Linked DNA regions of Rattus norvegicus. The protein of the gene in region 1 interacts with the protein of each later gene in a pairwise test. Links are inferred from orthologs where the notes say so. Each region holds a gene or a part of one and is shown on either strand. Other genes may lie near its edges. The genes, in order: Hax1, Il1a and Sav1.

Region 1 (4,321 bases):
TCCTAGGCAAGCGCTCTACCACTGAGCTAAATCCCCAACCCCATCTGGACAGTTTTTTAAAAAACATCTCTCTCTTCGGTCCCCAGCTCCGAAAAAAAGAAAAGAGAAAAAAACAAAAACAAAACAAAACAAACAAACAAAAAAACCCAAAACTTCTCTCTCAACTCACCCCATCTGGCTTAGTGATCTTGGTCACAGAGATGCTTTTGAAATAGGATTTAGGCTGGGGTTGAAGAAGTGGACCCAGACCTTCCTGGGAAACCTGGGAGTCAAGATCTGGAAGGGCAGAAAGATGACAAGCCAGGATAGAGTGGAGGGAAGAAAATTAGACAAGTGTTTCAGGAAGAAACTTCTGAGAGAACTTCAGGACAATGGCATGGTAAATGTGCTTCCCTCTAGACTCACCCTTGTCCTCTCTGGCTCTAGAATGGGGACTCACAGGCCATGTATCATCCAACTGTAGAAGAAGTCACACACAATCAGTGAAAAGACACCTTTTAATCTTAAACTTACAGGTCAGAGAACCCATATTCCTCACTAGCTCCAAAACCCCAGAAATACTTCTATCTGGGTAGTTTGTGTTCACACACCTTCTTCCTCAGGTTTATATGGACTTCAGTCAAAAAGAATTCCTGAAATTTTTTCCTGCGCTTTTAAGATTCTTTCTTAACCAAGAATTGAAACTAGTAATTAAAAAAAAAAAAAAAGCACAATATTTCCATTTTCCCCTTTATAGTCTATTCTAGGTTCCAATACTGCAAAAAGAAAACAGAAGCAATGGGGTTGGGAAGAAGGCTCACAGATTAAGAACACTTCTGCTCTTTTAGGACATCAAGCAGCTGAGAGTTCCAGGGGATTCAACACCTCATCATTGCAAGCACCCGCACCCACACAATAATACAAACTCACACAGGCATGCGTGCACACGTACACGTGCACACGTACACGTACACACACGTACACACACACACACACACACACACACACACACACTCTCTCTCTCACTCTAAATTTAAAAGACAACAAATAACAGCAACAGAACCCTAACTAACAAACTCAGAGGCAGGTGGACCCCTGAGTGAGGTCAGCATGGTCTACATAGCAAGTTCTACATCAGCCAATACTAGAGACCCTGCCTCAAAATACACAAACAAACAAATAAATAAATAAATAAAATATGAGGAGAGGGAGAAGACATTCTTGCAGAAGACCACAGTTCCCAGCAAGAGCATGGTGGCTCATAATCATACATAACTTGAGTTCCAGGGACACAATATCCTTTTATGACCTCTGTGGGCACAAGGTACATATGGTACAGAGACATTCAAGCAGGCAAAATACTCGTGTGTGTGTGTGTGTGTGTGTGTGTGTGTGTGTGTGTGTGTGTTTAGGCTAGGTGTGGTGGCACACATTTAATCCAGAGGCAAAGGCAGGCAGATCTCTAAATCTACACAGTGAAGTGTTTCAAAACAAAAATCCCAATAAGGAATAAAATCCAGATAAATGCACTAATCAGATGGGCTAAATTTTCAACTCCACTCCAAGAGATTCCAATATATAAGGGTTTACAGTTCAGGTGCAGAGTACTCACCCTATGAAAAGGTCCCTGGGACCCCCAATCTGGAGCTGGTTTGGAGGATTCAGGTTTTGCATGACTCTCCAAGACCCCCTCAAAGATCCTGGGTTGGTGACTATCTGGGTACTTAAGCATTGAGTCACGAAGTGTCTGCCCCTCTCGCAATCTCACACCAGGTGTTTCTGACTCAGGACCTGGAAGTTCTGTAGAAAGTTGGTAGGTGATTCTGGGATAGGAAAGGCCTTAAAACATTTTAAATCTTTTTAAAATCAGTTTCTGCACACTATCCATCACCAACTACTCTGCAAGTTCTGTTATCCATCACTAACCCACTAGAAACCCAGCTCTCCCTCAGGGAAATTAACACACCAGGAGAGTGGGAAGGCAAGGTCCAGGCCCCCATCTCGCTGAAGATGCTATTAAAATCTCGAACTAGATCATCAAAGCCAAAGTTGCCATGGAATCGCATCCCTCCTCTGGGGCTGAAGCTGAAACCGAATTCCTCTGTAGGGTGAAAACCATCAAACGCATAGCTCTCTCGACCCCACGCACCACTGTCTTCCTCCTCTTCGTCGTCTTCATCATCGTCATCATCTCGAGTCATCCCTCCAAAAAAAGGATCTCTGTGGCTGAGAATGGAGGCAGATAAACCACGAAGACTTTAACACTGTCTAAACCCAAGGGCAGCAAAACGGTCCAAAGAGGAGATCTGGTTTTAAAACAACGCTGATGGATCTACTAGGTTTTTTAATTGTTTCTAAGCAGAGCTTCTCCGCACCTCCCAACAGCTCCCAAACGACACCCCATGGTGTTCCTTCAGGGTCATCCTGCCCACTACTAATCACCCAATGACTTGCTCACGGTCCTCTTTCCCAGACCCCCATTGTTTTCTCCGCTCAGGTCCCTGTTGCATCACCCCAGTCTGGAGAAAGGTGCCGTTTCTGTCCTCTTAACCAACGCTTTGATTACTGTGGCGGGTGAGTACTCAAGAATGCGATCTTTGACCTCTCAGCAAGAGTTAAAGGGGGCGGGAAAGGAAACTTTCCAAAAATATGAAGGGGTCAAGTGTCCACCAAAACACCCTCCCTTAAGTCCAGCCCAGGACTATTCTCACCTCCGAGGTCCAGGGAAGCCGAAAAAGCCTCGGAAAAGATCAAAGACGCTCATTCCCGTAGGGGTACTAGAAACTTTGAAACTCTGCAGCCCATGGGCAACACGAGACCACCAGTTTACGCTACCCTGTCGGATATAGCCAAGGCTTAGCGTTCGCTGCCGGAAAGCAAGCCTACGATGCGGCACTGTCGTAAAAGCTGTAACTCGGAGGAGGAAGAGGCGGGGCTGACGGCGCTCCTCAGACACGAAGCTTCTATACGCTACCTTTCAGTTTTGAGTGGGGGTGGACGTGCGAAATTCCCACTGTCCAAGGATCACATCCCTTCTAGGTGATTCTTCTTCCTGCCGATCTGCCAGACCCCAAGACGTGTTTCCGTTTCTCTCTGGAGGGTCTCAGGTAGCCGCCAGAGGGAGTGGCCTGTTCACTCAGAGGCCTGCTTCCCCCAGGATCAGAAAACACATCCCACCTCGTGTTTTGTTTCTAGACTGACGGTGACGCCTCCCACCTTGTGTTTTGTTTCTAGAATGATGTCGGTGACGTCTAATACTAGGTTAGGCAAAGTGTTTTACCAAGATACTTACACCGCGACTTCCCTACTGCTGAATAAAGATGATAGGAATCTCTTCAGCTAGTACGGAGTTTTTAAACTTTTTCCGCCCCCCCACCCCCCCCCCGACCCAGGGTTCCTGTGTGTAGGTAGCTCTGGCTGTCCTAGAACTCAATTGCAGACCAAGGGGGCTATAAACTCATGAGACCCGCCTGCCTATGCCTCCCAAGTGCTGGGATTAAAGGAGGTTGCCACCAAACACTACTATTTTTAAAAAACTAAACAGATGGCAACCAGCAACGTAAGATTTGTAGACTAGGCAGGAATGAGAAGCTACTCAAGCATGTCTTGGAAAGACTGTGCCGTTATGAAATTTGACGGTGTTTTTGTCTAACCCACTCGGGAGGTAGAGGCAGGCGGATCTCTGCTCCACACACCTGAGTTTCAGGCAAGCCAGAGCTACAGTGAGGCTCTGACTCAAAATATAGAGACCCCCACCCGCTTCATACACCAACGCAGAGATACTTGCAGTTTTAGAAGGCTGAAACAGGATCCCAGTTCTTGGCAATATGGCTTTTATAAAGAAAAATGAAACTTTTTTTTCCATGTCCAAAACCTTTTACTGCACCATGTCCCCACCCCAGGTCTTGCTCTACCATCATCCACTCCTTTCCCAAAACTTAGGCATTTCAAAGTCACATAAAAAAGGCAAGGTAAGGTATAGTGCTGAGAACCTTTAACCTTGGCACTCAAGAGGTAGAGGCAGGTAGATCTCTGAATTTGAGACCAGCCTGGTCTCCACACCAACTTCCAGCCAGTTGGGTTACAACTTCTAGCCAGTCAGGGTTACATAGTGAGATTGTCTCAAAAACATAACTCAGACAAGAACTACTATACTCCTCCAAAAAGAAAAAAGCCCTACAATTTGGTTCTGCCAGACAGTAGATAATGCTGGCTTCAGATTTCAGAATCCTTTAAATCATGCTTAGATTCCCACAAGGTCCTTTTCCTTTTAAATGTCCTTAGCTCCTTCCCCTTTCACTTCCTGAAACTTGCTGTAGGTGAGGCAGTTTCTAGAAGAAAT
Region 2 (4,137 bases), on another chromosome or scaffold:
CCTTCCACTAAGAGGTCTGGCATCTACTTGAGAGTGCTTAAAATATTTTAGAAAATACATTTGGCCCTCTGTTTTGCCTGCCTGCATTCTCAAATTCAACCAGCCTTAAGAGTCAAAATATTTTCTAGAAATAAATGACATCTGTACTGCACATGTGCATTTTTTATTTCCTAAATAATCTAACCATTGCTTCATAAGCATAAGAATTGTTTCCACAGCGTCTGCATTGTGGCAGGTCTGGTTAGGACACTTGGATATGATTTAAAGTCACTTGAGAATGCATGCATACATACTTTATACAAATAGAGGGTCATTTAATATATGGGACTTGAGCATCTGAAGAAGGTGGTCTCCCTTGATTCTAAGCTCCCATGGATGCCTTTGGTATAACTGTTCTTCTGAAAGCAGCTTTTAAAGCTAGTATCACAGACACACAAAATGATATGACCTGGTGTGTGTGTGTGTGTGTGTGTGTGTGTGTGTGTGTGTGTGTGTCTGTGTGTGTAACATTTAATTTCTCCTGGCTAGCCTCCTTTACCTCAGCTCTGTGGGCTATCTGGTTGTCTCTAGCCTTAGGTCTGTTAAGAGACAGACCCAGGTGAGTTGGACTGAAACAACTGGCTAGGGAGAACAAAGTTAATATTTTGAAGGAGCCTGGCCCAGCTCTTAGGGGTTCAGATAGATCTCTATTCCGGAAAAGCAAATGAGTAGGAAGAATGTCAGTTAACTACTGGCATGAAGAGGCAAGTGTCTCATTTATGACAGGGAAACACAAGTGTATACTACTCAATGCTCATTGTGCTTCTCTGGTAGAGGATCTAGAGTGAAAGAAAAGGAAGAAAAAGAGAGCCCAGATCTATAAGAATGCTAATTATGTACTTACCTGATTCAGAGACAGATGGTCAATGGCAGAACTGTATTCTTCATTTTCACTGTCAAAAAAGAATATGAGACTATATTTTGTCCATTATTTTACTGTGGTCAGTGAGTATCATATCTAACTTAACACATTAACTTTGGGTAACACAGACAACATTCCTAAAAACTGATTTAGGCACAGGCACCATTGAATTCAAACGCTCTAACACAGTAATGACTTTTAGTGGATGTCTAAGAGCTAATCCATCCTTAGGAGAACTTGAGTCCTGTTAGGATGAGAGTAAGCTCCACAGTAACTGAGTACATGAACACACACACACACACACACACACACACACACACACACACACACACACACGATCATTACTCTTGGAAAAGTTAAAGACTTCTGTACATTCATGTCTACTATACACATAGTAATTTATTTGTCACTAATTTGAAATTAGTAATTATTAGAACAGCTTTGTGCTTTATAAAAAATCAGGCATGACTAATGAACCAGAGTCTTAACAGAACCTCAGGGAAGACTTAAGGTCTTTAAAAGAAAAGGGTTTGATGCATCACAGGCGTACTTTGTCATACGCTACTTACTTTCATGTCTTCACCAAAACATTTACTGTTTAACATTTTGTAGCTTTATTAGCATTAGCATTAATTGTAAACAACAAGAACATCATATTAGTTAAGAATGTTCTAGAATTTCAACTCTCTGCTCTTTTGTCTTTTGTATCAGGGTAAGGTTTGACGATGAGTGTGAATCCATGTGCCCGAGAGCCGTTACCTCCTTTGACTGGGAACAGGTTCTCTTGAGAATGGATTCTCTCTCAAATAGCTCATTAAAACCCACTGCTGACTCTTTAGAGTGCCTACGTTGATGTTGATATAAAATTATGTCAGATTCAGTATACCTCAAAAATAATTTTCTACAATTTCCGTTTTTTCCTGCCAATGAAATATCCTTTTAGTATGACGGATGCCTGGTCTTTCTAGGTCTTCTCTGTCCTCAGGACTTCAGGGTCAATGTATATCTCCATAGCCTCTGCCAGCCTGTCCCCTGACTGGTCACATTAACTCTTAGTTAATTCGGATTCAAAAGAGTCTTGTGCCCTTCATTGAATCAAAAAAGGAAGACTCCGTTTCTTACCTATAGCAGTTCTTTAGGTCTTCAAACAAGTCAGGAACTTTGGCCATCTTGATTTCTGCAAGAGAACACCAGTGGCTGTCAGCTCAGTCCACCTCTAAACCCTGTGCTTGCAAGGGCAATGACCCTGCTTTGCTCTTCTTGAGAAACTACAGTAGTGACTTATCACATGTTCAGCATTTCCTCTATTCTCCTTCATCCTCCCTTACATTATTTCTGTATGCTTTTATCTTTTCCACTAGCTTGTTTTCAAGAATGTTTTCTCTAACTTGGTATTCTTTGTGTCCAGTCTATCGCCTCACACATAGTAGGCACTTAGTAAAAGTTGAACAGAATAAGGAAAAAAATTAAAATCACCTGAGTGAGGTGTCTGCCTTATATAGAGGCAAGGGAGACACAGAGTGGGAACCTGCTGGTCTCTTTCATTTTTGTCAGGAGAGATGTCCGATCTCCAGAAAATGGTTCAGCTTTGCTGATAGACTCGCTCACGTGAATCTTGTTCAGCTGCTCCCTAAGTTCTCTATCACTAGAAAGAGAATTCTTTTCTGAGCCTCTCACTCCAGCCCCTGCTCTAAATCAGACAAGAGAAGATGAAGAGGAAGAGGAGGAGGAGGAGGAGGAGGAGGAGGAGGAGGAGGAGGAGGAGGAGGGAGGAGAGAAGAAGAGACCATTTTCCTTACGAAAGATGTCTTGAGAGAGGACAGTCGAGGAGCAAACAAAAGACAATTCTCATAGCCTCAGATGGGATAAGGACAATACCTTTGCCGACTCAAGCGCCAATGAGTTGACTCCCTCTGTGCCCTGGAGACTTTAAGTCTGAGTCAGGCTTCTCTCTGTCTTTATAGTCTTCCTCAAGTAGTAGGTGTGGTCATGAGTGTGTGTCATTGGGAATTTACAGGAAACAATTCTGCTTCGTATCTTTCTGTGTTCATTCTTCTTGATACGGGCTAGAAGGACAGATTATACACTGGTAATAATGTTGCTTGCAAAGACTCTGCGGGCTGTTGGCTTGATCTGCCTATTTCTCGCTTGCTCCATGTGACTATAAACATGTAGTCTTACAAAAAGGGAAGAGTGGCAGGAAGCTCACCAATGGAAGAGGAAAGGAGACATCCTCAAATCGGAGCGGGAGTCGGACTAGGACAGGTGCTCCATAGTTGTACTTTGTGTTTTGGTCTAATTTGTTTATTGTGCCCCAGGACTGAATACAGATGGGAGGGATAATTGGCAGCTAAGGCAGGGCATTTGAGGGAAAAATGAGCTCCCCACCCCTCTTTGAAGGGTAAAATTTGCTTGAATAAGTCAGCAGTCCACGTATAAAACAATGGCCTTCTGGTTAAAGGTAAAGGAGGTAAAAGTGACACTGAACATAAAGACCTGGGCCCTCTTACTCCTTTAAACAGTATTAACGCACTTCCTACAGAGACGACAGCTTCAGAGGAGAGTTGTCAGCCCCAGCCACATCATGGTAAAGTAGCTCTGTCCCACTACCTAGTGTCCTTCAGGATAGTTCAGGAGAGAGGATAAGCTGCCCACTTTTGGAGGCAGGGACAAAGTCCCAGCCAGGGGAGTGCCTCAGCCCAGGAGTGGGGGTTGTGGGAGAGGAAGGTATGGATTCTTACACAGATCAGCATTGCCTTTTTATTAGAAACAGTTTCAGTTCCTAGACGCCAGGCCAGTCTAAGAGATAGACTCTCAGCAAAGCAGTGTTTCAGCTTTTCTACTTGGCATTTAAGCCGTGTAACTTTTAAATAAAGGAAGTGGGTGGTAGACAAGGAAAGAAAAAAGTGGCAAAGAGAGAAAAGCAAACCACTGAAACATGGAATAAAAATCAAACCAAACCAAACACAAAACTGTGAGGCTAGGAGTAAAGCAGCTTACGTGAGTTGGATGAACCACGCCCTCTGGCCCTTTTAAATCACAGAGTGGAGCTGTTTAGATGTTCTTTGGTTCTATTGCATATGTAAACTCTCCAGTTCCAATGTGGCTGTCCAGTCTGTCCCTCCTCTTGTTATATTTATAAACAAAATTCAAAGATGAGTGGTATCCTACGTAAGGGAAGGAAGGACAAGCACAGAAGTAGACTGGAGCCAAAGCTTGGGCGGGTGTCTAAACAG
Region 3 (2,502 bases), on another chromosome or scaffold:
ATTAGTCCTGGGTAACAGTTAACACTGGTTCTAGATTATAGTGGTTCTGTAATTTCCAAAAAGCACATCCTGGCTCTTTATAAATTCAAGTAGAGTTAACGTTGAGAACACTCAGAGCATACTGTGCACACAAGTGGTAATTCAGAACAGCAGGCAAGTCGCTATGGCATCGGTGCCAGCGGGCTGACAGGTGCCTGAGAGGAACACTGTTCAGCTTCAACAGAGACAGGTGGGTCATGATTTGTAGGCCTGAGGATGAGGATGAGTAGCAAGAATTAAAAACCAAGGCAACAGGTTTGGAGAGATGGCTCAGAAGTTAAGAGCGTGTACTACTCTTGCAAAGGACTGGAGTTCAGTTCCCTGTGACTCCAGCTGCAGGAAACACAAATGCTCTCTTTTGGATTCAAGCTACACTACACATATGTGTGCACAAACACACATTATTAAAAATAAAAATAAATTTAAGAACCAAAGGAAGAATAAACTCAAAATGAGAGAATAAAATAAACTGAAGAAAACTCAACAATGTGACATCATGTTGGTTATTTTATGTGTCTTAGAAGGACTCTAGTCCTCCTTCAGTGCTTAAATGGCTCAGAATGAGGGGAACTACAGAACCGAGGAAGTAACTCACACTTCGAAAGGGAAGAGATCAAGAGACAGTCTAATTCAGTTTTCTTGTTTACAGATGAAAAACTCTGAGAGCTAAACAAAAAACCCCAATTATCTCCTGTAAAACTATTAGTGACTAAGAGTTCAGGAAGGCAGAGGTATATGACCAAGGAGCTTTAGAATGACAGTGTTTTAGGGTGAGTACCCGTCACTAGAGGTATATTATGTACCTATGTGATGTTGAGGTCATTTCTCAAGCCACTGCAGGGTAGAAATAAAAGGCAGCTCTACGTTACAATGTCTAGTGAACTTATTTTAATAATCACTTATGTCCTATCTAATGGATACTTTGGTAACTCATTTGCCATTTTATTCCAAATCTATATAAAAAACATATATGGCTCCCCAAAAAAACAAAACAAACAAACAAACAAAAACAAAAAAACAAAAAAACAAGCCAAGCATACTGAGCAGTTCCTGCAGGCTGCCCAGGCTGCCCAGGCTGCCCGGGGCCACACACACTTCCATGTCTTGGATGTGTGTCCCAGGCAGAGCTGAGGCAAGCACTTTACTTGACTCCCGTGTATTCTGTTACTTGACTGACGTCCTTGCAGAGTCCTGGATCCCTCTCTTCCCCACACCAGAGCTCACTCCTCATGAGCAAGAGCTGCAGTCACGAAGGGGTTACAGTACATCCCAAGTGTCTCCCAGCACAGCTGTCACTCAGGAAGCTTCATTTACTCACTCATCACTTCTCTGAAATTCACTAGTAATTCCTAATGAAGAACTCCATCTCAGAGTGTCCGTCCCACTGTTCTGCACCAGAGTACTAAGCTCTTAACTGGGTACTCTTGGTTATAAGTACTATACCATGTTACATGTTAATGCCATATAAAAATATAAAGAAAACAAAAATTAAACTTGTCATATTTGATATTCTCATGTATCTATTACCAGAGGTTTGTACATAAATTAATTAGGATACAAACATCTTGGAAGAATTTTTTACTTCTAAACAAACTTTATAACCTGATATCCTTTCTTAAATGTTACATAGAAACCCAATATTGTAAGAAAACCACAACACTTTTTTTTGGGGGGGGGGGGGGTTTCTCTGTGTAGCCCTGGCTGTCCTGAAACTTGAACTCGTTCTGTAGACCAGGCTGGCCTCTAGCTCAGAGAGCCATCTGCCTCTGTTGTATGTCATCATCCCCATCCGTGTTCTGTCCCCATGCCCTCCACCCCACCAATGCTGGGATTAAAGGTGTATCTCCACCATTAATCCACACTGGCTATGCACGGTACTTAAGTGGAGCTTGTTAGAGACCCCAAAGATACCCATGCTGTGTGCTCACTTACTTCACAGGGGCTCGGGCATAAACCTGAAGCCAGTCAGGAATTTCTGCAGTATGGTAGGGGTTTGCAGGGACCAGGAGAGACTGATTTCTTTCAGTTTGCTGTGGCTGATACGTGATGGGTGGAGGCTGATCATACCGAGGCACACTGGGAACAAAGAGTTGACATTTATTAAAACAGAAGCCCTCTATCCAGGCCAGAAATTACAATGACCATGCAACTTGTAAGAATCTTCTATGTGTTGTCTGGACAAACTGACCATCTTCCACTTTAACAGAACGTTCCATGATTAAAGTCTAGATTTTTTTGTTTTAAACTAAACTGTGTGGAAGTATACCCCATCTTCTTTTGGAAGCTGATATGCTGCAAGTAATAAACACCCAAGTAGAGGTGGAGTAGGGAGGATGGACTGGGGCGCCCCCACTGTGGCCTGCCTCAAGCCCTGGGCCTAAGTCCCACTTTGGCGCCCCCTCTCCCTTGCTGATCCCTCTTCCCCTATGGTGTGCAGTCCTTCGGTCCAAAGGTCACCCTGTA

Evidence for each region.
Region 2: the proteins of Hax1 (region 1) and Il1a interact in binary tests that used the Homo sapiens proteins (3 or more experiments, as listed by UniProt). The link is inferred for Rattus norvegicus from reciprocal best matches to the Homo sapiens genes HAX1 and IL1A.
Region 3: the proteins of Hax1 (region 1) and Sav1 interact in binary tests that used the Homo sapiens proteins (3 or more experiments, as listed by UniProt). The link is inferred for Rattus norvegicus from reciprocal best matches to the Homo sapiens genes HAX1 and SAV1.

The regions. Positions count from the first base shown.
Region 1 is NC_086020.1:177,732,534-177,736,854, forward strand, and holds the start of Hax1 (HCLS1-associated protein X-1), read right to left. Parts: upstream 2,810-4,321; 5' UTR 2,744-2,809; coding exon 2,691-2,743; intron 2,643-2,690; exon of another isoform or gene 2,490-2,642; coding exon of another isoform or gene 2,422-2,489; intron 2,206-2,421; coding exon 1,946-2,205; intron 1,780-1,945; coding exon 1,592-1,779; intron 458-1,591; coding exon 406-457; intron 277-405; coding exon 170-276; intron 1-169. UniProt on the Homo sapiens protein: Recruits the Arp2/3 complex to the cell cortex and regulates reorganization of the cortical actin cytoskeleton via its interaction with KCNC3 and the Arp2/3 complex. Slows down the rate of inactivation of KCNC3 channels. Promotes GNA13-mediated cell migration.
Region 2 is NC_086021.1:136,987,186-136,991,322, forward strand, and holds the start of Il1a (interleukin-1 alpha), read right to left. Parts: upstream 2,833-4,137; 5' UTR 2,780-2,832; intron 2,747-2,779; exon of another isoform or gene 2,378-2,746; intron 2,079-2,377; 5' UTR 2,071-2,078; coding exon 2,024-2,070; intron 933-2,023; coding exon 884-932; intron 1-883. UniProt on the Homo sapiens protein: Cytokine constitutively present intracellularly in nearly all resting non-hematopoietic cells that plays an important role in inflammation and bridges the innate and adaptive immune systems.
Region 3 is NC_086024.1:94,216,638-94,219,139, forward strand, and holds part of Sav1 (protein salvador homolog 1), read right to left. Parts: intron 2,116-2,502; coding exon 1,972-2,115; intron 706-1,971; coding exon of another isoform or gene 635-705; intron 1-634. UniProt on the Homo sapiens protein: Regulator of STK3/MST2 and STK4/MST1 in the Hippo signaling pathway which plays a pivotal role in organ size control and tumor suppression by restricting proliferation and promoting apoptosis.